7 linked regions of the Sus scrofa genome follow. The protein of the gene in region 4 purifies or fractionates together with the protein of the main gene of each other region. This does not show direct contact. Links are inferred from orthologs where the notes say so. Each region holds a gene or a part of one and is shown on either strand. Other genes may lie near its edges.

Region 1 (3,500 bases), on a different chromosome or scaffold from region 4:
GAATAATTGTGTCTTCACAGGATGAATGCTACCAAGTAAGACAAGTATTTGCTCAGAAACTTCACAAAGGCCTTTCCCGATTACGGCTTCCGCTTGAGTATATGGCCATTTGTGCACTTTGTGCAAAAGATCCTGTAAAAGAAAGAAGAGCTCATGCCAGGCAGTGTCTGGTAAAAAATATCAATGTGAGGCGCGAGTATTTGAAGCAGCATGCAGCTGTTAGTGGTAAGCGTACATGAAAATGAAAAGTGTCCTTTTCCGTCCTGCCAGTTTCAGTTTTATAAACCTCAAGATGATGGTACTGTTATTTATTCTAACTGACCCTCATTAAATATGAGTGTTGCTCTTTTCAATAACAACTTTTCCTTTTAAAAGGTCATTTTAAAATAGAAATGCATGGGCATTTAAATATCAACCTATACCTCTTTATGTAACTGACTGAAAGGCCAAAGGAAATAAGCAGTGACTTGGGAGGTACTTTTATTTATTTATTTTTTTGTCTTTTTGCCATTTCTTGGGCCGCTCCCGCGGCATATGGAGGTTCCCAGGCTAGGGGTCCAATGGAGCTGTAGCCCCCGGCCTACACCACAGCCACAGCAACGCAGGATCCGAGCCGCGTCTGCAACCTACACCACAGCTCATGGCAACACCGGATCCTTAACCCACTGAGCAAGGGCAGGGATCGAACCCACAACCTCATGGTTCCTAGTCAGATTCATTAACCAGTGAGCCACGACGGGAACTCCATGGGAGGTACTTTTAATAAAACAGTAAAAAGTACATTTATATAGATTGTTCTTTGATCTTTGTTGGTTGACCTTACCTGTAGCTGACATGAAGAGCAGGTTCCTATGTGCCTTTTTAAAAGCTGCTCACTTTACCCCTCCATGCTGTTAGTTTTTGTGCCTCTCTGACTTCTTGGACTTGTTTAACATCATTAAAATCCATCCAGTTATGCAAGTCAGAAATCAGAGACATTCTTCATGTCTTCTTTGTTCCTCTCATTGGTCACTAAATTCTCTTAATTCTTCTTCTGAATATCTTGAATATTTCTCCTCAGCTCTCCTACTCTGGTATATTTCACTTGGGTTATCATATATACTCCTAATTAACTCCTTGTGCAAATGTTCCCCTGTTTCTGGCCCATCTCCAGCTGTGCCACATTACTATCAAAGTAATCTTTCTAAAACAGATCAGATCACATCACTTCCTTACTTGAAATCCCTGTTGATTCCTTATTGCTCATAGGATCAGGTTGAAAAGCATGAGCATAGCCCTTTATAGTTTATTTTTACCCTGAGTTTCAAGCTTTCTCTCAGCCACTCCCTACTGTAAATTCTGTGATCCTCATACTCTAGATAATTTGAAATTTGTGCAGTTGTCTTTTTTTCTCTTTTGTCAACTCTGCCTGGAAATTGCCTCCCCCTTCTGGCCAAACAGATAAACAAAACCAAGGAGAGTGGTTTGCGCCCCCTTTGAATCTTTTAAAATACAGTTTTGGTGTTTCCTCATCACTGGGACCCTCTTTGTTCTCTTCTTTCCTCACCTTGTAAAAAATGAGGGCTCTGGAGTCAAACCCACCCCTGCCAATTACTAATTGTGTTTGGGCAGGTCACTGTTGCAGTCTTAGCCTTAGTTTCCTTATTTGTAAGGTTAGTATAATTTTACTCATGTCTTATGTTAGTTATGAGGACTAAAAAATTATGTGTATAAAGGACCTGTCATAATGCGTGGTCCAAAGAAATACTCAGTAGTTGTTAGCTAGTCTTATTTTAGGGCACTTTCCATAATGAAGTATAGCTTCTGTCCTGTCTGTGCTCTAGTGTGAGGTCTTTATCTAGTTGTATTCATCTTTACATTTAAAATAGGAAACCCCGATAAAAAATAGTAGACCTAGAAAAGAGGAGGAAGCGCTCAGTAACTATTTGATAGACTTTAATTCAAATTTCACTGAATTTTGAAACTTGCTACATTTTTCTTCTTCTATACCTACCTTGAAATGAAGGATATTACACACAAACTATTTTCTTTGAGTTCAGTAATAGAAATAAAGAAAACTTGGTGCCTTATTGACACATATATTTTTGTGTTCTAGGTTGAACATCTGATTTAAAATTTTATTTTGAGAGTAGGAAACATGAAAGGAATTGTTCAGAATATGAATCCTGGTCTTTTGAGTAATCTGTACTAAAACTAGATAGGATTTCCATTTTTAACCTTTGATAAAATACGTAGATCTCAGTCAAAATATAAAAATATTTGAATTTAAATTAAACTTTGTTATTTAAAATGCCCTATAAACAGAATCTATTCCTTTATATCTGTTCTTCTGTTACAAATAATAGCCAGAGTGTCAACCTTTACTTCGTAATTTTTTCTGCCGTACTAAATGAAACATTTACTAGTTTTTATCATTTTGCTCAGCAGCTTACAAGGGAGTATTGAATATTGAGTTGCTAATAATAAAAAGACAAATAGTTCTTATGTTTCTTAGTCTTGAATATGGTTTGGGTCACTTTTCCCTCTATCTATTGAAAATTCCAATATTTGTCTTTGTAGCTTCAGCACATGTGCATTTAGTAGGCATTTCAACGTTGGACATCATGGATGAATGAATAAGCTGTTTAACTTATGATGTACCTCAGCATTGGACGTTTCAGTGTATTACCATATTGTGGTAAACTTTTGGGGTAGAGGAAATAGAGTATCAGAGAGAAAGAGAATGAGTAAAACTTGGTTTTCTAACCTGGATGTTTTTGTTTTGTTTTGTTTTGTTTCTTTCTTTTTTCTTTCTTTTTTTTTTTTTTTTTTTTTCTTTTTCAGAAAAATTATTGTCTCTTCTACCCGAGTATGTTGTTCCATATACAATTCACCTTTTGGCACATGACCCAGATTATGTCAAAGTACAGGATATTGAACAACTTAAAGATGTTAAAGAGTAAGATTTTTTTCCATCCCATTTTCATATGTTCTGAAAGTTTTTTCCCCTTTCCTGCTGATAATGGAATCTTAGTTATAATCAGTTTATTAAATTTATTTCATTTATTAGGAGTTTAAGATTCTTTACCTTATTTGTTCTCTTTCTTTTTTCATACCATTGCTTCACATTTCATTTCTTAGATAGTTTCCCCAAACAACCTAGCATAATTATTGTATTACTGTCCTATTTCTCTACCAGCCTAACAGTTCTCTTCTACTTAAGCAGTCCATTAAGAGTTTCCATTCCAACTCTTATCTTTTCCTACTTTCCTCTGTAATGATGTATAGATTTTCATTTGGGGTGAATTAATACTCTCTTTATTCACATGGTGAGGACATTTTCTTTGTAGTTACCATCTTCCTCCCTAAGGAAGAGAGAAGTGGTCTGATTCGCTAATAGCCCAGGTTGATAACCAGGGAACTGCGCCTGCTTGCTCCTTCATTGGTGGTTCTCTCATTAGAGCTTCTAAAAGCTGCAGTTCTTTCAAAGATTCTTGTAGACAGGCTGAAAGAATATCAAT
Region 2 (3,500 bases), on a different chromosome or scaffold from region 4:
AAAGCCAGTGATCTAACCCGCATCCTCATGGAAGCTAGTTGGGTTTGTTACTGCTGAGCCACGACAGGAACTCTGTTTTTTTTGTTTGTTTTTGTCTCCTAAATTTAATATAAGCATTTTTATCTCAAAAATCCATAGTACCTCTGAGAAGGTTTGGTTGAGTTTCATTCTGAATTGATCTTTAACATTGTTGAAATCCCATGAGTTTAGGGTAACAATTTTAAGGGACTTGGATGCCTAGGGAGGGGTCACTAGAAGACATGAGACCTGCACACTGAAAAGGTAGAAGGGGAGATGTCAAATATGTAAACATTTATTTCTTTAAAATTGAAAGTTATTGCAGTTATTTCAAAATTAATTGACTATGCTATTAATTAGGCAACTGTCCTTTTTATTTAACTTTTACATTGATGTCATTCATGTTTTTATCCTTGACTTATTTTTCATTTTTATAGATAAAGTGGAGAGCTTTAGTGAAGAACATGAAAAGAATAGTCACCATATTTACAAAAATGCTGAAGACAGTACTAAGAAACCCAGTGCAGAAACTACAGTGGCTTCTGGATACAGAGCTGATGAAATCAAGGAAACCAATGATACTTGGAACTCCCAGCATGGAAAAAGATCAGAATCTCCATCAGAAACATCTCCAATCAAGGGATCTATAAGAACTGGTTTGTATGAATGGGATAATGATTTTGAAGATATCAGATCAGAAGATTGTGTTTTAAGTTTGGATAGTGGTCCTGTTTTGGAGATGAAGGATGAGGATTTAAAAAATCGATTGGAAAATCTAAATGAAGCCATTGAGGAAGACATCATGCAAAGTGTTCTTAGGCCGAGTAACTGTAGGACGTACTGTAGGGCCAATAAAGCAAAATCCTCACAAGGAGCATCAAGTTTTGATAAGCTAATGGACGGCACCAGTCAGGCCTCAGCCAAAGCAAACAGTGAATCAAGTAAAGATGGCCTGAATCAGGCAAAGAAAGGCAGTGTAAGTTGTGGGACCAGTTTTAGGGGGACAGTTGGACGGACTAGAGATTATACTGTTTTGCATCCATCTTGCTTGTCAGTTTGTAATGTTACCATACAGGATACTATGGAACGCAGTATGGATGAGTTCACTGCATCAACTCCTGCAGATTTGGGAGAAGCTGGCCGGTTAAGAAAAAAGGCAGACATTGCAACATCTAAGACCACTACTAGATTTCGACCTAGTAATACTAAATCTAAAAAGGATGTTAAACTTGAATTTTTTGGTTTTGAAGATCATGATGATACAGGAGGTGATGAAGGAGGTTCTGGGAGTTCTAATTACAAAATTAAGTATTTTGGCTTTGATGATCTCAGTGAAAGTGAAGATGATGAAGATGATGACTGTCAAGTGGAAAGAAAGACAAGCAAAAAAAGAACTAAAACAGCTCCATCACCCTCCTTGCAGCCTCCTCCAGAAAGCAATGATAATTCCCAGGACAGTCAGTCTAGTACTAATAATGCAGGTAAGACTTAAAAAAAATTATTGCAAGTAAATAGGTTTTTCAGGCTTAAATAACAGCTACTTAGTTTCCTCCTAGATAATCAATTTTAGTTTGTTACCATGTTTAATTTTAATAGAAGTACCTATTTAGAGTCAAAGATTACCTTATCCAAAGATACAGCACTTTAAATGTTAATAAAGTTCCACTTTGTTAGGAACCAACTTGTAAATGGAAGAGTCTTTTCATGTTTGTATTTTATTTCCACCATTAGCAGTTGAGTTTTTAAAGTGTGTGTGTGTGTGTGTGTGTGTTCTTGTGTCTACAGGTTTTTCAACTTCGAAAAACCAAATGCAGTGGAGACATAAGGATAGATTCTGGTCATTTAGTATGCTGTTGATATTAAATGGTTATAATGAGGGAAATATGGGAACATTGAAATAAAGCCTTTGTAGTTGTCTCAAAACTAATCAGCTAATGTTAAAAATGTTCTAAAGAAATTTTAAACTTATAAAGTTAAGATTAAATCTTAATCTTTGGAATCACTCACTTGGAATTCCCGCTGTGGTGCAGCAGGTTTAAGAATCTAGCATTGTCTCTGTGGCAGTGCCAGTTTGATTCCTGGGCCTGTGCAGTGGGTTAAGGATCTGGTGTTGCTACAGTTGTTGCGTAGGTTGCAGCTGCAGCTCAGATTTGGTCCCTGGCCAGGGAACTTCCATATATTATGGATGTGACCGGAAAAGAAAAAAAAGAATCACTCTCTTAAATTGAGTTAATACTATTGAAAAGTGCTGATTAAGTATTTATACACTCTTACCAGTGAAAAATTAATTTGCACTTTAAGATAGATAGTAGAATCAGTAATGACTCCGCCTTTGAGGAGTTGGTAGTCTCCACTGTGAGAGACAAAGGAAAGAAATAGGTTGGCTTTGCTCTGAACAAGTCATTACTTGACAAGGGCTTTGTGAAGTGGATTGAGTATTGAGTGAGGAAGCCTCAGTGTGAAAGCCTCTGGGACACAGGGGCTATCTTTATTTATATTTAACCAGTACAGTTTTCCTTAACAGTTTACTTGTTAAATAAAGCTTTTGTCCTTTTAAGGTCGTAGAAGAGTTATTATGGTGAATTAAAATTATCATAGTATTCATACATATAGGTTCTCTTGTAAAGTATGTCATACCATTTTGCTTTATTTGGCTTAAAAATAGTTTTGCTAGATTAGAATCATGTGCATAAATAAGTTTCAGAATTTATCCAATGTTTTGAATCTCTTCTGGAGAACTGAAGTTTGCTGCAGCCTTGCTCATCACTTGAGATTTGACGGGGCAAACAGCTTTACATTTGCTTTCTCAGGAGGATGATAAGTTAATTATGTAATGAAACCTGAGCTCCATTCCTGCCAGAAGCTACTTGACTCTTATGCTAACCTTGATAGCAAATTATCCTAATCTGCAGGTCAGAATCTGTGGCTGAAATTTATATTTTAAAACAATAAACTTTTTAAGCTTTAAAATAAGAAGGTTGGAATCTGAGTCTTCATATATTGTATGAATAGCAATCATTTTTAAGGATTGGAATAGAGAAAAGTTTATTTTTTTATTTTCTTTTTTCTTTATTTTTTGGTTTCGGTCAGAAAAATTACAACCATTTGGAAATTAATACTTTGGTTAGTTTTGTGGGAATGTATATCCACAAACGACTGAACTACATTGTACTAGGTCATTCTATGTCTTTTGCTAAGGATAACTATATCCTTTTTTTTTTTTTTTTAAATGTGACTTTTGTAGATGTAAGTAGGCATTCTTTAAAGGCAAGTGTGATTCAGTGTACTTAAATTCTGGAAAAATAGTACAGGTAGATACCACCTAATGGTATGTATATGTGTGTGTGTTTAAACTAGACCATACCAGCGTCAGTGTCTATAGATATCTAGCAGTTATATGAACTTTATATAAGAAGAACTTTATATAATTTGAAGAACAAATATTCTGGAAAATAATTAATTTTGGCAGTAAAACTGGAGCA
Region 3 (2,663 bases), on a different chromosome or scaffold from region 4:
GCTGTGGAAGTAAAAGGAGCATCTATTAAGAGACTAGCCAGTTGGAATCCATGCCAAATCCTTTACTCTAAGGCCTCAAAGTAGAAAGGAGTTAAAACAGGGAAGGGAGTTCCTGCGACTTGGGTCGCTGCTGTGGTGCAGGTTCAATCCCTGGCCCTGAACTGCCATGGGCAAGGCCAAGACAAAATTAAAACAAACAAATAAACAAACAAAACAGGGAAGAAGAAATCAGCCATCCTTCCTCACTAGGTATGGATAGATGACCACACCAGTGGTATGGAGGACCACATGATTGTTATTACTGAGCCCAAATTTCACCTGCATAGTTGAAAAGACTAAAGAAAGCCAAAAGCCATCACAGAGCTGGGAGAATGAGGCCATAAGGTGCCAGAAATCTAAGTAGGTAGCTGGAAGGAGGATATTCATTTCTTCCTGCTCCAACTTAGGTTCAAATCTCCCACCTAAATTCTTATCCCCAGAAAAGACACATGGACACCAGACACCTTAAGAACTAGGTTTGTATTTCTGGTTATGTTCCAGAGTGGCAGAACTCTGGAATTGTACTATATAAATCTGGACCCCAGCTCAGCTTGCCTCTCTCCCTCCCACAAAGATAACATCATACAAAACTATATTTACAGGTAAACCAATTAAAAATTAAGGATGTGTACAAAAGTAGACAAGATAGCCAGAAATACTAATGCAAGAAAGCTTTGGGAAAATGGGTACTGTAGTCCACACTGGAACCTGGGGGCAATGAATTATGTATCAAGCAAGGAGAAGTGAAGCAAATCTCAGTGCCAATTTTAGGGGAAATCAGTCACTCCAGGGGAAGAGTGGATGGGGAAGAGCTATTAGCCTTAATATTGCAAAATCTTAATTTTCCAGCCACCCTCCTTCTGCCATATGGATCAGAGCCAGGTGGTGAGGAAAAAAAAAGTCTCTTAACAAGCCCCCATAAGAAAAGGGCTCAGAAGGCATAGCGAGTCCGGATGTCCTCAAGCTTCTTGGACACCTCAGGTGGGGTTCGGTCCAGTTCTTCAGAGACATTCTTTTGTTTGTTGGGCTCCATGGAGTTGAACTGCTCACAGAGGTCTCCATCAATCACATTCTAAGACACAGAAAAATGAGAGAGGAAGGAAAATGGCATATGCTAAAGCAGTAACTGCCAAAGAAAACTTTTTATTCTCCACCAGATACCTGAACTTTATAGAGCTAGGAATACTGTTCTAAGTTGATTCTTAGTAGCCAGAGTTTAAATGAGCAAAATGAGGTGAAATCTTTTCTCTGGCCATGGTCTGTCCTGAAGAAAGAGGTCTCTGAATATTCCTCTACCCTATTACTGTCTCCCATCAATTCAGTCCCTCAGTGCTCCTTTATATAAGACTGCTGTTTTTTTAAGGGGAGGGAGGCCCAGAGAAAAGACTGGTTAAATGGCTGAGGATCCCCCTTTTCTTTTTTTTTTTTTGGTCTTTTTGTCTTTTGTTGTTGTTGCTATTTCTTGGGCCGCTCCCGCGGCACATGGAGGTTCCCAGGCTAGGGGTCGAATCGGAGCTGTAGCCACCGGCCTACGCCAGAGCCACAGCATCGTGGGATCCGAGCCGTGTCTGCAACCTACACCACAGCTCAGGGCAACGCCGGATCGTTAACCCACTGAGCAAGGGCAGGGACCGAACCCGCAACCTCATGGTTCCTAGTCGGATTCGTTAACCACTGCGCCACGACGGGAACTCCGGATTCCCCCTTTCAACCCAGATTTCCAACAAAGACATACCTTAACAGGAAAGTAATAGGAACGAAAACTGAGGTGGTCTCGCCCACAGAGAGGGGGATGCTCAGATCGGAGGTGCATTTCCACATGCTGGAAAAAGTCATGATCCTGGTGGAAGAAACAAACAATATGTCACTAAAAGAAAAAATTTCAACAACTAGTCTACAATTTCTCAAAGCACAATGAACAGAGAAGCTATTGATTTTTACCACACAAACAAATCTCAAATATCTAATTGTTCCTGATGACCACAGGCTTTCCTGCTATAAGACAGCTAAAACTTGAAAAAACAAGAATGAAAACCTTTGTGTTTGCAGAACCATGCGAGAAAACATCATTTTTAAAAAAATTAACTATACTTAAATTAAAAATTTCTGAAATATTAGAGAGAATTTCCAAGTTAAAAACGACAGCAAAATAATGCATGTATCTTAATATGGGTATGTTTTCAATAATTTTCCAAGGAATAAAATAAATCACTTCAACTGACAAAATAATGAATGACTTGGGGAGATGATACGAAAAAAACACACTCAACACATCTCAAAATCGAACTATGGTTACCAAAGAGGAAACGTGGGGGAGAGGGATAAATTAGGAACCTGGAATCAACATATATACACCACTATATATGAAATAGATAACTAGCAAGGAGCTGCTGCATAGCACAGGGAACTCTACTCAGTATTCTGTGATACTGTGTATCAGAAGAATCTGCAAAAGAATGAATATCCGTGTATGACTAATTCACCTTGCTGTACACCTAAAATTAACACAGCATTATAAGTAAATTATACTCCAATAAATTATTATTATTATTTGTGTTTTCTATAGGGCCGCTCCGGTGGCATATGGAGGTTCCCGGGCTAGGGGTCGAATCGGAGCTGTAGCT
Region 4 (4,078 bases):
TTGGATTCATTTCTGCTGCCCCACACGGGGGCTGCCCCACATGGGGACTCCCCCCAGGCATCATTTAAAAAATAGTTACAGGAATGGCTATGGCAGCCACCAGACCCTTTCCATGTCTAAGTCTAAGCACCAACCCCAGCCTACTCATCTGTTACCACGATATAAGGTCACACTGAAGGGGAAGATCCCACAGACAGCTTCTTGGACTCATAAAGCCATGGCTTAGTTATTAGCAGGTATAAGGTGATGGGGGGGGGTGAGGGATGGAGAAGAGGGGTAGAAAAGATGGGAAACATAAAGGGGAAGAGGACAGAGGGGGAAAAGAAGAAGGGCAACAGGCAGTTGATGGGGTGGAGGTGGAGAACAGAAGAGGAAGGGAGGGAGCAAGGGATGGGGCAGAGAGGGATAGAGGGGAGGAGATGGGATGGGGGTGAGGCATGGAGAGAGAGAGAGGTGAAGTGGAGAGAAGGGAAGAAGGATAGAGGTGTAGAGCACTGGCTTAGGGACCCTGACTCCCAGGGGTTCACACAAAATACCTTTCTCAGCTAGGAGTCCCAATTTTGAAGCTCTCAGTTTGGGGCTAGGCTCAAGCAGTCAGCAAGTGACTCGGGTCCAAGACTATTCTTGGGCTACAGCGGCAGTCGCTGAACCCTGCTTGGGGAAACGGGAGGGAAGCAGGGGACGGAGCAGTACCTCTGGCCATTTATAGTTTTCCCCAGCCCATAACCCAGTCGCTCCAGAGTACCCTCATATCCATACATTCACCCTCCATCCCCCTTCACACTCTATCCCACCCCACTCCACTTCCAACTCTACTTCATTCTCAGCAAGATCTGAGCTCCTCTAACCCTCTGGCCTCTCCTTCCCCACGTACAGCCCTCCGTTCTCTGGGGCCCTTCCAAATTCCCGACTGGGTTCTTGTCTAAGCCTTCGCGCCTGCCAGACAAAAGCCACAGCCCAGCTCCCACCTTCTTGCCCTGGAGGGCATAACCCTGCTGTGATTTCTGACTCGTCTCTGCTAGCGCTGGCTCCGTTTGCCAGCTTCTCGGGATCCCAAAAGCTGCAGACTCCTCCCAGACACCTCCTCTGCAACTGTGTAGGCAGCGGCGGCGGTTTCTGTTGCCACGTAACAAGAAAGGGGGGGTGGGGCCCAGACGCCTGTCATAATCTCGCGCCCTGGCAAAGGATCAACGAAACCTCTACGTCAGCTTGATGGCCCCGCCCCTGTTTCCCGCCCGCGCCGGAAGCCGAAAATCCTGTTAGGCCTGGCTTTATTCTCGCGAGGTTTGCCCTCCGCCCGGCCTGCACTGCGGTGTTTCCCGCGCGGGCTATCCCAGTTCGCGGGCGTACGGCGCGGCCTTTCCTACCGCTGCCGGCGCCGCCACGGTCATGGGTTTCCTGAAGCTGATTGAGATCGAGAACTTTAAGTCGTACAAGGGTCGACAGATTATCGGACCATTTCAGAGGTTCACCGCCATCATTGGACCCAATGGCTCTGGTGAGATAAGCCCGGCTGCGGCCCTGCGCACGTCCCAGCCTGGACCCCCTATCCGGCAGCAGAGTAGTACAACCCAGCCTGTGCAACCAGAAGTGTTGCGAACCCTAACGGGTTCCTTGCCCTCCTGAGGGGTTTCGACCCGGACCCGCTTTCCCTCCTTGGGTGCTCTGACTCGAACCTCACCCCCAGGTGTCAGTTGCCCGCTCTTTGCGCGGCCCCCGCCCGGGCCGGAGTGGTACGGGCCGAACTCAACGTTACCCCGCCCACTGCCCCCTCCCGCCAAAAGTGGCGCGTCCCGAGCCGGCTGCCAGTCGCTGGCCACGCAGTTCCTCGCCCGACCTGCTGCATCCGGCCTCAGCGTATTGTTTGAACCCTCCGGAAGATTGGGACTGTGGTAGCCCTCCCGTGGCCTCCGGCCCAAACGGTATACTTCTGCTTCAGCCCAGCGCCCCCTCCCGCCTCTCATTGGTACACTTCAATCCCCCCCCCTTTTTAATAATAATAAAAAAACCCTCCTCCAGAGGCGGCACTTTTGAATTTCGGACTCAGCGCTCGCGTCTACGGAGTGCTTTGGGGTCTCTAGCCCCCACCCTCATCTGAGAGGTGGGGATGTCTCGAATTCACCCCTTTCCTACCCCTGAAACCGTCAAAAGTCAGAACTCAATTGCTCGTCAAATTTAGTCAATGCTTATTACTGTTTTATAAAGAGTTATTCTATCAACGTTCTGTGGAAACAGTGGAGACTAGAATAAACCATGCTCTCAGGGAACTTACATTTCAGAGAGGACAGATGATAATAAAGGAGAAAATAAGTTATTTTTCAGCTGTGATAAGTGCTATCCAGGAAATTAGATTGATGTAATTCAGTGACAATATGATAGAATCAGTTGGATAGCTCTTTAGAAAAAGTGGTCATTAATTAACAATGCTGTATTGCATATTTAAGAGTTGCTAAGAGAGATCTTTTTTTTAAAAAAATCACATGAAAAAATTAACTGAGGTTGAGTTCCCGGTATGGCTCAGTGGTTAACGAATCCGACTAGGAGCCATGAGGTTGCCGGTTCGATCCCTGGCCTTACTCAGTGGGTTAAGGATCCGGCGTTGCCGTGAGCTGTGATGTAGGTCGCAGACTCGGCTAGGATCCCGCGTTGTTGTGGTTCTGGCGTAGGCCGATGGCTACGGCTCAGATTAGACCCCTAGCCTGGGAACCTCCATATGCCGCGGGAGCGGCTCAAGAAAAGGCAAAAAAAAAAGACCAAAAAAAAAATTAACTGCAGTAATCGATGTTAATTAAATTTATTGTGGCAACCATTTTGTAATATATACAAATACAGAATCATGTTGTACACCTGAAACTAATACAATGTTGCATGTTAGTTATATCAAATTAAAACTGGGTGGAAAAGTAAAAAAGAAAAGAGAAGGGAAGGAAAGCCAAAAGGAGGGGTAGCCAGATAAGGCCTCTATTTCATATCTAAATTCTCCATCTCTAAATGATACACCATGGATTCCTCCCATCTACTCCCCAGTAGGCTGTCTGTTTGAAGTTCTGCTGTGTTTCTCCACCCTGGAGGTGTTCTAGCTAAATCACTTCCTAGCCCGAGGGGCTTCCCTAACTGCAGTAGCTCTAACTGATGACCTTCCTGGAGTCTGACCTGGATTTAGCCGTTGAACAGGGTTTCTCAACAGTGGCACTATTGACATTTCCAGCAAGATACTTCTTTGCTGTGGGGTCTGTCCTGTATATTGTAGGATGTTTAGTGGCATCCTTGTCTTCTATTCATTAGATGATAGTAGCACACCCCCCAGCCCCTACTCCCAGGTGTTACAATGAAAATGTCTCCAGACTTTGTCATGTCCCCTGGAGGCAGGGGCAAAATCTCTCCCCCTACCCTACCTCATTTGCGAACTACTGGCCTAGATGACTAATGCTTGGGGTTCCACTGCAGTTTCTTAGGAGTTTGGTGTGGTGGCCCCTGTGGAAAGAGCAGGGATGCATCTCTTGGCATCTAGTCCCCTCAGCATGGAAAAATTTGTATACCCAGCTATTCTGAAAAGGCCCTGGTCTGACTGCAGCGGGTGGGAGTGGGTCACTTCTGCCCCATTCTTCAATACGGGACTCCACAAGGCATTGGTTGATTCCCCTTAGTGAATTCCTCTCTGGCACACAGTAGACATTTGGTACATGTTAACATTTATTTTCTTCTATCTTTTATTCATGGTATATGTTTTTTATCTTCAGTCACTGGTCTATGGAGAAGACATTTAATAAGACATTCCTTAAAACATAGTGTCATTGTTCTAGTCATAATGCATGTTTACAGTATTGCATGATTGGGAGTGGGGGGCTTTGGTTGTGAGATGTTCTTGCCATCCTTGGATAGCATGGGAGAAACCCAAAGGGGAGTTCCCGTCGTGGCGCAGTGGTTAACGAATCCAACTAGGAACCATGAGGTTGCGGGTTCGGTCCCTGCCCTTGCTCAGTGGGTTAACGATCTGGCGTTGCCGTGAGCTGTGGTGTAGGTTGCAGACGTGGCTCGGATCCCGCGTTGCTGTGGCTCTGGCGTAGGCCGGTGGCTA
Region 5 (4,088 bases), on a different chromosome or scaffold from region 4:
AGAGCGACAAGATCCGATTTAATCCTTTGAGAGATTTTTGAGGCAGAAGGAATAACCTGTAGGCAAATTTTCCTATTTACTTTTGGCGTAATGGTACACATACAAATACATAAACAATATAATTTACGTACGACTCAACGAAATGCAGAAAAGTATACCACAAATTCCGTCCTATTTGAGTAAAATTCTCTTACCTATGCACTTTTTACCTGAAGAATAGCCCCCTTGTAATTTACATTAGTAAACGTTAATAGTGAACTGCGGAACGATAAAGTTAATTCATGTGTTTCAGTAAGAGACACAAAGGGCGCGGTACACATAATCGCATCTGTTCTCCAGCCTTGGCCAGTGGTACCTCACTGTTTGAAACGCAAAGAGGAAAACGGTGTCTGAAATCGGCTGGCCCCAGGCCCACCCGCGGCCCGCATTCCGCCGGCTCTCGTCGCGCGCTCGGCTCCACCCACACCTAGTGGGGGGCGCGGACTCGCGCGCTCCGGGCCCGCTGAGCCGGCTCCTGGCTCGAACAGCGTCGCCTACAGGCCTTTATCCCGACTGTTAGGCAAGAGCCCAAACCGCCGCCAACAAAAAGCAAGACCAGAAAAGACCACATATTTCCAGAAATAAATGCATCATAAACGCGACTCCAATTCAATCCAGCTGAGAATCTTCTTCTCCTCCAAGGGGTGCGTTCTTACTCCGCAGAAATAATGCAGAGACGGGCGTAAAGTTCGGCCTCTCAGAAGGAGAGAAGGGCGTACATTACGATACATCCATCCACCCGGCTGCAGGGAAACCATTTAAAAAATGCACGGTAGCCGTCGGATTGCGGGCGTCCTCTATGGGGCCGCCCCGAGCTCGGCTCCCGAGAGCTAATGACGAGCAGCTGCAACGGCGTGAGCGGCCTACGAGCCGGTCCGGACCTGAGCGCCCCCCACGCACACGACCACCACCGAACTCGGGGCCCGCTCCGGTCGGCCTCCAGGAAAATAAAGAACAGGAAGACCCGGCCCGTCCGTGCCGCAGCGAAAACGCCGCTACGTAGGATCGACAATAAAAGGCAACATCCACAGCCGCCCTGAGGAGGAGAAAGGCGCAGAAGAGAACCACCGCCTGCTCTCTGCCGGCTGCCGGCCGCCGCCGGGCCGGGGTGCGGTGCGGAGAGGCGCGGGCCGTGCAGTCCGGCGCGGCCGAGGACGCGAGCTGAAGTGGTGGCGGCGGCGCGGCGGTGGCGGAAGTGGAGTGGGGAAGAGGGGGTGGTTGTTAGTGTTTGGCGCCGGCGGAGGGAGTCATTCCTGCAGCTGCACTTCCGGTCGGCATTTTGTTCTGCGAGGGAGAGACGGAACGAGAGAGAGAGACACACACAGGGCTCCTTTCCCCCCCGCCCTCCCCCCCTCCCTCCGTCGGTACCGACTCACCCGACACCACCAAGCCGCAGGGAGGGACGCCCCCGCCGACAGGAGGATTGGTTCCCGGGCCGGCGGCGATGCCCCCCCGGTAGCTCGGGCCCCTGGTCGGGTGTTTGCGAGTGTTTCTATGTGGGAGAAGGAGGAGGAGGAGGAAGAAGAAGCAGCGATTTGTCTTCTCGGCTGGTCTCCCCCCGGCTCTACATGTTCCCCGCACTGAGGAGACGGAAGAGGAGCCGTAGCCACCCCCCCTCCCGGCCCGGATTATAGTCTCTCGCCACAGCGGCCTCGGCCTCCCCTTGGATTCAGACGCCGATTCGCCCAGGTAAATTCCTGCTCTTTATTTCGGCGGCGGCGGCGGCGGCGCCAGGTCCTCAGCGTCTCTCCTCCTCGCTCCCCTCCCGGCCGTTTCCTTAGCGGCCCCAGGTCTCCTCCACGGGCGAGTCTAGAGTTCGCTCCTCTCTGGTGGCAGCCGCCCTGGGTGGCGGTGGTTTTGTACCCTCTCCCGGCCGGCTCCGGTGGCGGGGACTGGGCTCCTGCCGGGCGGCCGGGGAGGCGTAGGCCCGGCGGAGAGTGCAGGCCGCGGGCCAGCGGAATCTACTTGAGCTCGGGGATTAGGAGAGCTCCGGGCTGAGCGGAGCTACTGCTGGTCGGTGACAGGCCTCGCCCGGGAGAAGAGCCGTAGCTAGTGAGGAGGCGGAAACAATACAACTAACAGCAAATGTGCCCTGATCGTCCCCATATTTACAACTTTCCTGGTCCGGGAGTGGGGAACGTCCCAGTGAAACAAACAACCCCCCTTCTTCCCCCTGTGACCCCATGAAGGGAGGAAGTAGTTTCAGTTAGTGAGACAAATGTAAATACTCAGACACGGATCCAGTGGTAATTCTTTTCCTGTGTAAAACTTGTTTGGACGTTGGAAAGTTAATAAAGACTCATTTTCTTTTTAAAAAGAATTAAATCGTCCACATGAATATTTAATACAGAAAACCATAGTGTGGTAGACACTACATATGACCTCCCCAACCACGCAGAGAGCTTTTATGTTGTTGTTTGACAGTGTGTTGCACATGGACTTTTTATTCAAAGACAAGTATAAAGTACTTGACAGGTTTATCCTGCCACTTTATATTTGTGTGCGTTATATAAGGACAGTTTTAAACGACTTTGCATGAAACACTCAGGTACTTCCTGATCTAAACGTGTAGAAGCTTAGAAAGAATTTTCAATGTTCTGAGAATGGTAGTGACATACAGGTACAACCAATTTTCTTAAAAGGGTAGAAAATAAGTTATGCTTAAAATCCCTGGGAGGTTAAAAAAAAAAATGTACAAGGTGCCATCCTTTCATGTCAGGGCAGATCTTCTTGAGGTCCCAGGATTGCCATTGGCTGTTTGTGCCCATGATGTTTGACTGTGTAATGAGAGAGGTGTCATTTTAATAGGTCAAATGTATCTGTAATGCTGGAGAAAAATACCAGTTCTATCTTAACAAATTCTAGTTCACAAGTAAGTTAAGTGTATAGAGCTTATTTATGGTGGCGTTAGTAGTGTAGGTTGGTATAAGGGAAAAACCAATTTAAAAGTCCTCAGCCATACAAATTGCATAGAAAAATAAATGGACCTGGGTTGGGCTATTTTGATACTTTGTCTCATATTCACTGAAGGAAAACTTTCATTGGTTAAAATGAAGCAACACTGATCAACAACGTCCCTTGTTTTATTAGTGGGTGTTACATATTTTGTGTCTCATTAGATATTATTGCCATTGTAGAATAAGGAAGTTTTCTGAAGATTACTTTTGAGTTTAGCCCTCTGCTTAAAATAAATTGTTGCACATTTCCTGCAAACGTATGAATAAAGTTAAGAAGAGTGAAGTTAATATAGCTGTCACGTACTAGGCATGTTTTTAATGCTATAAATCCGTGTAGTAGTCAGTAGCGTGTCCGTGATTTGTATTGGTCAGGGAGCAGTTTGAATTTTAAAAAGCCTGAAGCTCCTGCTGAGCCCCAATCCCGGCCTCCCTCCCTCCCACTAATCTCCCATTCCTGTCTTTGTGCTGCCTGCTCCTGTTAGACACTGTTTGCTACAGGGCCTCAGGCCTACACTGGGTGGGGGGCACGCGAATGGGGGCTGGGGGGGTGGGGGGGTGTAGAATACCGAAGGGAGGGACTGTTCACTTCTTAAGCGGAGGGTTTGGGGGTGGGGGTGGGGTAAGGGCTTCAATATAAATGTTTAAAAGGCCCTTATATGATCCTGTGATTGTCTTTACAACTTTTATTTAAATATCATAGACTATGTCAAGGGATGAACATACTTCTACTAAAGGTAATGGAAAGAGTTCTGCTTGCTTAGTTTTCATCGACAGGAGCAACTTATCTTTAGCATTTTATAGTTAAGGAGCTTTCTTACACAGATGTTTGAATCAGTATGTTAGATATCTATTTATGTAATTGATTTTTTTTTATTGTGACTTTGGAATTAAAGTGAATTAGTTCTTATCAGATCTTATTTCCTTAATTCTACATATTTAGTAATCTAAGTAATATAGATGGTGCGATAGCTTTCATTAAGATAGCATAAATATTTCTTTAAAGTAGATTGAAAATATTTTCTGTTTGGTCCAAACCAATTAAAGAGGTTATTTTTAAAGGAGAAGACATTGTAAAACTCGAGTAAAACCTCA
Region 6 (4,182 bases), on a different chromosome or scaffold from region 4:
AGCTACTGCTTGCAGCCACAACTACACCCACAAGTTTGGCTGGCTCTCACTCAACCCTCGACATTGGCAGGGAAGAAATTAGGAGCTTTAATTTCTAGGGACAGACACTAAAGCCCAGAAAGGGAAAAGTGACTTGCCTGAGCTCAAAGCAAGTAACCTAGCTGGACCAGAATCTGGGGCTCCAGCCTCCCAGGCCTGAGTGTCTCACTGTGCTGTTGCTTAGGGAGGGCCTGTTAACTAGTCATGCTGGGCCTGTCCTGATCCCCCCAAGTTGCCCAGGCCTCACCATAACAGATGAGGCGGGTCGTCTCCCGGGTGGCCAGGGGTACGTTGCACAGGCGGCAATTGGGGTTGTAGTCGCTATCTTGGAGCCACTGCAGATAGGACTGGACGATGCACTGGAGTGGGAGAAAGAGATCACAACTGGAGCAAGGGCTCCACAGCCCATCTCCCCAAGGCCCAGATGCCTCTTTTTCTCTCATCACAGAAGAGCCCCATCCTTTCATTTGACCAATGGAAAGACACATATTGAACACATACTGTATGCCAGACTCTGTCTTAAGAACTAGGGATGTAACAGTGAACAAAATCAATTAAGCTCTTGCCCTCGTGGAGCTTCCACTCTAGGGCCAAGACCTTCATGGATTTGGAGGAAGTCAATACCAACTGCCTACCTTGTGCCCTGCACAGGCACTCCCTTGAACACCCACCTTGGCATGATTGGCTACCAGACAGTGCTCGCAGACGTTGACTCGGTGTTCGAAGCAGAACAGGTTGGTCACTTTCCTCTTGGGGCACTTGCAAAGCCCCATAGTCGACCCTGAGGAAGGGGGTCAGAAGTGGCAGGGGACCAGGTTCTGGGGGCCGCCACTACGCACTCACCAACTCAGTTCGTTTCCACTCTTAACCGCCTTCGACACCTCTTGTATTCGCCCCAACCCCACATTCCTGCCCACCGTCCCTCTTCACTCCGAGACACGCCCCCTGCATAAATCCCACCTCCGGAGACCCCCCCATTCCTCCCATATCCCACCCGCGGCCAGACCCCTCCGATACCACCGGCCCCGCCCCCAGGGGCCCCTCCTGAGCCCCACCCCCTCAAGCCCCGCCCCCACCTCCTCCACAGACCGTACTCTGTGTTACCAATCCGGGGCTGCACCGGTCCCCAGAGGCGCGAGCTCCGCTCCGAGCCGCAGAAGGTCAGACTGCGCTCAGCCGAGTTCTCGCTCAGCTTTCTCCAGCTCAGAACGCTCCGATTATCCCTCCGCTGCCACGTCTCTTCCGGGTGCGGCGCGTGCTGATGACGCCAGCGCGCCACTGGCCCCGCCCCTGCAGACGCTAGACGTGGAGGCGGGTGCAAACGGTGTAACCAGGGCTTATCGGTCCTCCCGCCCAACGTCACTTCCGCTTCCTCCCGAGCGAGGCGGGCAATTCGAACGTTTGCGCTTCGGGTTGGCGCGGGAGCGTGCGGCCGTGGCGTCGGCGGCGAAGATCGAGCCCAAGGCTAGACATGTCCGAGAGGCGAACGCGGTCCGGAGGGGCCGCCCAGAGCTCCGGTGAGCGGAGGGCGCGAGGGAGAGATGGGGCTGAGCCGTTTGAGGGACGCAGTTCCGTGAGGAAGGCCCTCCCGCCACCCTCACTGCCTTTGGAGGCTTGTTCCCCGCCCAGGAAGGTGTCCACAGAGGGCTTGTTTGGGAGACTCTCTCGCTCTCTCCAGAACCTGAGGACTCTAAACTCTAAGGTCTAGAGTCCTCCCCCGCCTCCTAAATTTTTCTCTTTCCAGGGCCCAGGACCCCAACTCCTACTCAGTCTCTAAGGAGGTCCCAGCGGAAATCAGGCTCTGATCTTCCAAGCACCTTCCCAGAAATCCGGCCTAAGGTGAGCCCGGGATTCCTCAGTCCTCCTGCTCCGGAGGCCCCTGGACGAATGCAGAGCTCATGTTCACCCCTCTTCCTCCAGGCACCCCAGGCGGCTCCAGTCCGAAAGCCCATCGTCTTGAAGAAGATCGTGGCCCATACTGTAGAGGTGAGGGCTGAGAGAGGGTTTGAGCACGGGGAGCCAGAATAGGGGGCCGGCTGTGTGATCACTTAATGTTGTCTCCACAGACTCCATCTGTTCCCACGCCTCGAAGAAGCCCCAGGGTAAGTTCGTTTTCATTTTCTTAGTTGAAGGCAACCCAGGACACTCGAGCTGGGGCGTAATGGCTGCTCACATCTGCCTGGGGAGCTGTTTTTGTTGTATTTTGAAATAATTTACCTTTGGATACCTGCATGTGTTGCCAGTTTGGCTCACTTCTTGCATACTTGCGGTGTCTAGCTATTGTTGCGCTGGTATTCTCTACCATTTTCCTTTAAAAGTTGAGCTGTGGTTTTTTTTTTTTTGTCTTTTTAGGGCTGCACCTGCGGCATATGGAGGTTCCCAGGCTAGGGATCTAGTTGGAGCTGTAGACACTGGCCTACACCAGAGCCACAGCAATGCGGTATCTGAGCCGCATCTGCGACCTACACCACAGCTCACGGCAACGCCAGATCCTTAACCCACTGAGCGAGGCCAGGGACCGAACCTGCAACCTCATGGTTCCTAGTTGGATTTGTTTCCGCTGCGCCACGACGGGAACTCCAAGAGTTGAACTGTTTTAATTACTTTTTCTAGTCTGTTGTCCTTAGTATAGTATAATGTCCTTAACTGTTTTAGCAGAAATCATAGTTAAGGAGTTTCAGTAACAAGATCTGTGCCTGAAGGTATCATAAATGAGAAATGGTAACTGTCTTTGAGTAGCTCACAAGGCTTACAGTCAAGTGGGGAGAAAGAAAAAAATAAGTGGGAACAGTGTGCTGAAGACTGCAAAAGAGAAAGGACTAGGAGCTATGAAGGTGCCTAACCCAGACCAGGCAGCTTGGGGTATGTTTCACAGAAGCGTTTAAACAGAGTCGATGAAAACAGGTTGGGGGCATCCCAGGCAAAGGAAGCTGTGCTTGCAGACATCCTGAGTCCACAAGGAAAAGCACGAGGTTCGGGGAGCGGTAGCTTGTTTGGTGCGTCTGCAGCCGACCTTGGCAGGGAGTGTGCTAAGCCAGAGCGGATCTTGATGAGGCATGAAAGCCTAGCTTTCCTAAGCTTGGTTGGGCTTCCTTCTTGGCTCTGTGGGCAGCTTTAGAGAGTCTTCAGCAAGGTAGTAACTGAGGCAAGCCTGGATGTTTTAGAAAGATCCCTCTTGGGTCTGGGTGGAGAACAGGTTGGAGGAAGCCTTCTGGGGACCTCAGGCCAGGTGGGAGGACTTGAATGGAATCCTGAAGTGAGGTAGTGGGAGCCTGAAGTAAGGGAAAGGCAGAGTGCTGCTTTGCCCCCGGCTTACCACACAGCCACCCCTGTCACACAGGACTCAGCTCAAAGGACAGCTCCTCCTGGAAGCCTTTTCCATGTGGTTCTCCATAGGCCTTGTTCATAGCTGAGAGTATATTATTTGCATGTTTGTTGTCTCGAGGGCAGACTTCTGCCTCCACTATGATAGCCACTCTTTCTTATTGGTCGAATAATAGATTCATGAAATTGAGCCCCCCAAAAAACTGCAAGGACGTGGATGACTGCTTAGCTGTAGGGATTGAGGAAGTAGTCAGTGACCCCTCATTTTGTTCAACATCCCTTTTACTTAGACTCATGGGGCAGATTCCCCAGAGCTTGTACCAGGAACTAACCCTCCCCCCTCTCTTAATCAGTTTACTTTTTATTTTATTGAAGGATAATTGATTTACAGGGTCATGGTAGTTTCAGGAACTGGCTTGATAACCAAATATAACTTTATTAGACCAAAAGTGTCACTGAATTTGTCTTTTTTCTCTCCTTGCCTTGGCCGTCAGGAAACTCAGTGCCACGTTTTGCATAAGTTAATTCAGTGAGCATTTATTGAACACCTGCTGCATGCAGGGCTCCGCTGAAGGCGCTAGACATGGGCACAGGCAAGGTTAAGGTCCAACAGGTGGAAAGCCCTGCTCATATGTGAAGCTCACAGTCTAATTGGGTGTGACAGTCAACCAGTGAACAGCGAAAATGAGATAGTGATGGACTATCTGAGTCCACAAGGAAAAGCACGAGGTTTGGGGAGCAGTGGCTTGTTTGGTGTGACTGCAGCCGACCTTGGCAGGGAGTGTGCTAAGCCAGAGCGGCCTCCAGGAAAGAGGCCAT
Region 7 (3,500 bases), on a different chromosome or scaffold from region 4:
TTTGTGGAGTGAGGCCCCTTAGGAGGGTCTCTGGACCTAGGAAGCAGGAAGAAGGCAGATACTGGAACCAGGTGGAGGCTCAGGGGAAGGTTCCTTCAATCAGTCTGATCTGGTTCTTCATGAATTAGTAGAATTAACATCTTAGAAGCAGGAAAAGGAGAAATATCTGCTGACTTGCTTATCTCCCGTGAACTGGTCATTTTTGCAAAGTTCAGCCACTCCCCGGGTGACCTTTTCCTCTTTTTTTGGAGGGGATAGTCACTTAGTTGTGTTAATTAGAAAGTGATGATTATGATGATTTTTTTTTGGCTGCCCCACAGCATATGGAGTTCCCAGTCCAGGGATCAGATCCAAGCCGCACGACCTCAGCTGCAGCTGCGCCCTGGCTCTGCAGAAATGCCCCTGTTCCTGTTGTGCCACATCAGGCACTCTTGTGATGATTTTTAAGATGGAATGATTTCCATTTTCTATAAACTCATGCAGCTTTTGACTAGTTTATAAATTCTTAATTTTTTTTTTAATTTGTCTTTTTAGGGCCACACCTGTGGCATATTGAAGTTTTCAGGCTAGGGGTCAAATCAGAGCTACAGCTGCCAGCCTGTGCCACAGCCATAGCAACACCAGATCTGAGCTGTGTCTGCAACCTACAGCATAGGCCACAACAACTACAGATTCTGACCCCCTGACCGAGGCTAGAGATCGATCCTGCAGGGATGAATCCTAGTTGGATTTGTTTCCACTGCACCACAATGGGAACTCCTAGTTTTTAAATTCTTATTCATTATACAAAGGAAATGATGGTGGGGGTCTGTGGTTTGTTTCCTTTTTAGCACCAGGCTTCATCACTTTCTCTTGCCTACTTTGGGGATAGTGACTTACATATTCTGCTCAGTTCTGTGATCTTCTCTAATTGACTGTTGATAGCTTATGAGAGGTAACTTTTTTTTTTTCAGGAAAGAGATTTATGATTTAGTCTCAGAAAATTGCTGGGAATGCCTAATGCTAGCATCCTAGATAGAAGTACATTGTAAACTGATTGTGGACTGGGGAATGAATTGTAAAAGCATATCCAGATGTGTTTAAGAAAACACAAGTGTTTATCAGTGTGCCAAAAAGCTGATAAATCAGGAGTGATTTTTTTTTTTTTTGGTAACACAAAAGAAATTCCCAGAAAGTTCCATTCAAAATCTATATAACATTTTGACTTTGGCTTCCCTGCTCTCTGCAGTGTCGGGTAACCCCAGCATGAAGTTGTCTTGGCAGTGTTTGTTAGAATCTTGGGCTGGGTGCCTCGGATAACTGCAGTTCTTGTAGTTCTTCCTGCTCCTTGGCCCACACCCTCCATGACCTCTAATTGTAGTGACAGGCCCAGGAAGAGGTGAGCCCTCAGGTCTCTTTCAGTGTGAAATTCTGTGGTGTGAAGGCTTTGTGATTTGAGGGTGGTGTGTGGTTAAACCAGCCTTGACTTCTGGACAAATGAAAGACCAGGTTCATGCATCACTTATGGCACATGTGTGGTTTGACCCCCTCACTTGGGTGGGAGTTGATAGTTCCCTCCTATCAGTCTCAAACGGAATGGGTAAAAAACTATGAATGGCTTGATGCAGCCTGGTGGTGCCACTCTAAACAAGCTTTGAGCAGGCTTCTGTGGCTCTTTGAGGGCAGCAAGTAAGCAATCCTGTCCCAGCCCAGGACCTTCAGGGAAGATTGCTCATTGTCCAAGGGGTTTTGTTTTTTTTTTTTTTAGGGCCACACCCTTGGCATATGGAGGTTCCCAGGCTAGGGGTCCAATCAGAGCTACAGCTACTGGCCTACACCACAGCCACAGCAACACCAGATCTGAGCCACATCTGTAACCTGCACTACAGCTCACAATGACACCAGATCCTTAACCCACTGAGCAAGGCCAGGGATTGAACCCTCAACCTCATGGTTCCTATTCGTATTCGTTTCCCCTGAGCCATGATGGGAACTCCCAAGAGGGTCTTTTTTATTTCAAGAAGATAAGTGATTGCAAAGTCATTTGTTTGCTCTTTTGCTTAGATGAGTTGATCGCCTATGAACTAACGAGAAGGGAAGCAGAAGCAAATAGAAGACCCCTTCCCGAGTTGGTGCGTGCCAAGATACCATTTAGTGCCTGCCTTCAGGCCTTTTCTGAACCAGAAAACGTTGATGATTTCTGGAGCAGTGCCCTACAAGCAAAGTCTGCGGGTGTAAAGTAAGTGTGTGTGTGTGTGTGTGTGTTTGTAATGTTTCTGCACTCGCTTATGTGGTGGCAGTAGGGTAAGGAGGGGACCTTGAGAGGTGGGGACTGTGGTAGGGAGGGTTGGCAGGCACTGTATGAGTCTGGGCATGCTTGACTCAAGTGTGGTGAAATAGGATTATAATTTACACAACCATAGTTGTCGTAGACCTCACTTGTATGAGACTTGTACAGTAAAACAGGCTTGTTGTAATCTATATCATATGCAAGGATGTGGATGCCTTTAAAAAAAAGCCAGGCTGTGGTTTGTCCTCTTTAGGGAATTTGCCTTTTTTTTTTTTGGCCAAGAGGGGGTAGTCAAGAATCCTTCCCTGCTTCAAGAATGATATCAGAAGTATAAATACTTCTGAGAGTCTTCAATTTTTAAACTCTACTGTGATAGACTTTAATTTGATAATGAAAGATTTGCTGGAGTTCCTGCTGTAGCACAGTGGGTTAAGGATCTGGTGTTGTCTCTGTGGTGGCTCAGGTTGCTGCTGAAGCTTGGCGTCGTGGGTTAAGGATCTGGTGTTGGTGCAGTTGTGGCATAGGTGGCATCTGTGGCTGGGATTTGATTCCTGACCATGGAACTTCCAGATGCTGTGGGTGTGGCAAAACAAAAAAAAGATTTGCCTTAGGACTTGGTGGCTGTGGTCCTGCCTGGCAGCTGGGGCTCTGAGGGTTTCTCAAAGGGGACATCAGGGATCCTGAGCATTGTTCCAACGAGCTGCTTAGGATGTGGTCAGCAGGTGTTCTAAAAGCCTTGCTCTCAGATACATAAGAATTTTGATATTCTTGTTGTGGTGCAGCAGAAACAAATCTGACTAGTATCCATGAGGATGTGGATTCAATCCCTGGCCTCTCTCAGTGGGTTAAAGATCCATTGTTGCCATGAACTGTGGTGCAGGTCTCAGATGTGGCTCAGATCCCATGTGGCTGTGGCTGTGGTGTAGGCCAGCAGCTGTAGCTCTGATTCCACCCCTAACCTGGGAACTTTCATATTCCAAGGGTATGGCCCTAAAAAAGCCAAATAAAAAATTTTTTTTTCCTTATTTGACACCTTAATTTTTTTTTTTTTTTTTTTGGTCTTTTTGCTATTTCTTGGTCCGATCCCGCGGCATATGGAGGTTCCCAGGCTAGGGGTTGAATCGGAGCTGTAGCCACCGGCCTACGCCAGAGCCACAGCAACGCGGGATCCGAGCCGCGACTGCAGCCTACACCACAGCTCACGGCAACGCCGGATCGTTAACCCACTGAG

The links.
Region 1: the proteins of SMC1A (region 4) and PDS5B purify together in Homo sapiens (affinity purification with western blotting; 8 studies listed by BioGRID and IntAct, with this or other methods). This does not show direct contact. The link is inferred for Sus scrofa from reciprocal best matches to the Homo sapiens genes SMC1A and PDS5B.
Region 2: the proteins of SMC1A (region 4) and WAPL purify together in Homo sapiens (affinity purification with mass spectrometry; 7 studies listed by BioGRID and IntAct, with this or other methods). This does not show direct contact. The link is inferred for Sus scrofa from reciprocal best matches to the Homo sapiens genes SMC1A and WAPL.
Region 3: the proteins of SMC1A (region 4) and SF3B3 fractionate together in Homo sapiens (co-fractionation; 3 studies listed by BioGRID, with this or other methods). This does not show direct contact. The link is inferred for Sus scrofa from reciprocal best matches to the Homo sapiens genes SMC1A and SF3B3.
Region 5: the proteins of SMC1A (region 4) and NIPBL purify together in Homo sapiens (affinity purification with mass spectrometry; 3 studies listed by BioGRID and IntAct, with this or other methods). This does not show direct contact. The link is inferred for Sus scrofa from reciprocal best matches to the Homo sapiens genes SMC1A and NIPBL.
Region 6: the proteins of SMC1A (region 4) and CDCA5 purify together in Homo sapiens (affinity purification with mass spectrometry; 7 studies listed by BioGRID and IntAct, counting the BioPlex papers as one, with this or other methods). This does not show direct contact. The link is inferred for Sus scrofa from reciprocal best matches to the Homo sapiens genes SMC1A and CDCA5.
Region 7: the proteins of SMC1A (region 4) and USP13 purify together in Homo sapiens (affinity purification with mass spectrometry; 5 studies listed by BioGRID and IntAct, with this or other methods). This does not show direct contact. The link is inferred for Sus scrofa from reciprocal best matches to the Homo sapiens genes SMC1A and USP13.

The regions. Positions count from the first base shown.
Region 1 is NC_010453.5:9,199,694-9,203,193, forward strand, and holds part of PDS5B (sister chromatid cohesion protein PDS5 homolog B), read left to right. Parts: intron 1-20; coding exon 21-225; intron 226-2,823; coding exon 2,824-2,938; intron 2,939-3,500. UniProt on the Homo sapiens protein: Regulator of sister chromatid cohesion in mitosis which may stabilize cohesin complex association with chromatin. May couple sister chromatid cohesion during mitosis to DNA replication.
Region 2 is NC_010456.5:87,557,679-87,561,178, reverse strand, and holds part of WAPL (wings apart-like protein homolog), read left to right. Parts: intron 1-455; coding exon 456-1,499; intron 1,500-3,500. UniProt on the Homo sapiens protein: Regulator of sister chromatid cohesion in mitosis which negatively regulates cohesin association with chromatin. Involved in both sister chromatid cohesion during interphase and sister-chromatid resolution during early stages of mitosis.
Region 3 is NC_010448.4:13,576,519-13,579,181, reverse strand, and holds the end of SF3B3 (splicing factor 3B subunit 3), read right to left. Parts: intron 1,880-2,663; coding exon 1,775-1,879; intron 1,112-1,774; coding exon 971-1,111; 3' UTR 501-970; downstream 1-500. UniProt on the Homo sapiens protein: Component of the 17S U2 SnRNP complex of the spliceosome, a large ribonucleoprotein complex that removes introns from transcribed pre-mRNAs.
Region 4 is NC_010461.5:46,199,349-46,203,426, reverse strand, and holds the start of SMC1A (structural maintenance of chromosomes protein 1A), read left to right. Parts: upstream 1-1,278; 5' UTR 1,279-1,389; coding exon 1,390-1,498; intron 1,499-4,078. UniProt on the Homo sapiens protein: Involved in chromosome cohesion during cell cycle and in DNA repair. Central component of cohesin complex. The cohesin complex is required for the cohesion of sister chromatids after DNA replication.
Region 5 is NC_010458.4:22,151,167-22,155,254, forward strand, and holds the start of NIPBL (nipped-B-like protein), read left to right. Parts: upstream 1-1,288; 5' UTR 1,289-1,728; intron 1,729-4,088. UniProt on the Homo sapiens protein: Plays an important role in the loading of the cohesin complex on to DNA. Forms a heterodimeric complex (also known as cohesin loading complex) with MAU2/SCC4 which mediates the loading of the cohesin complex onto chromatin.
Region 6 is NC_010444.4:7,102,266-7,106,447, forward strand, and holds the start of CDCA5 (sororin), read left to right. Parts: upstream 1-1,382; 5' UTR 1,383-1,510; coding exon 1,511-1,556; intron 1,557-1,783; coding exon 1,784-1,878; intron 1,879-1,959; coding exon 1,960-2,025; intron 2,026-2,105; coding exon 2,106-2,141; intron 2,142-4,182. Other genes in the region: ZFPL1 (zinc finger protein-like 1), read right to left, coding at 287-398, 711-812. UniProt on the Homo sapiens protein: Regulator of sister chromatid cohesion in mitosis stabilizing cohesin complex association with chromatin. May antagonize the action of WAPL which stimulates cohesin dissociation from chromatin.
Region 7 is NC_010455.5:117,783,580-117,787,079, forward strand, and holds part of USP13 (ubiquitin carboxyl-terminal hydrolase 13), read left to right. Parts: intron 1-2,043; coding exon 2,044-2,218; intron 2,219-3,500. UniProt on the Homo sapiens protein: Deubiquitinase that mediates deubiquitination of target proteins such as BECN1, MITF, SKP2 and USP10 and is involved in various processes such as autophagy, endoplasmic reticulum-associated degradation (ERAD), cell cycle progression or DNA damage response.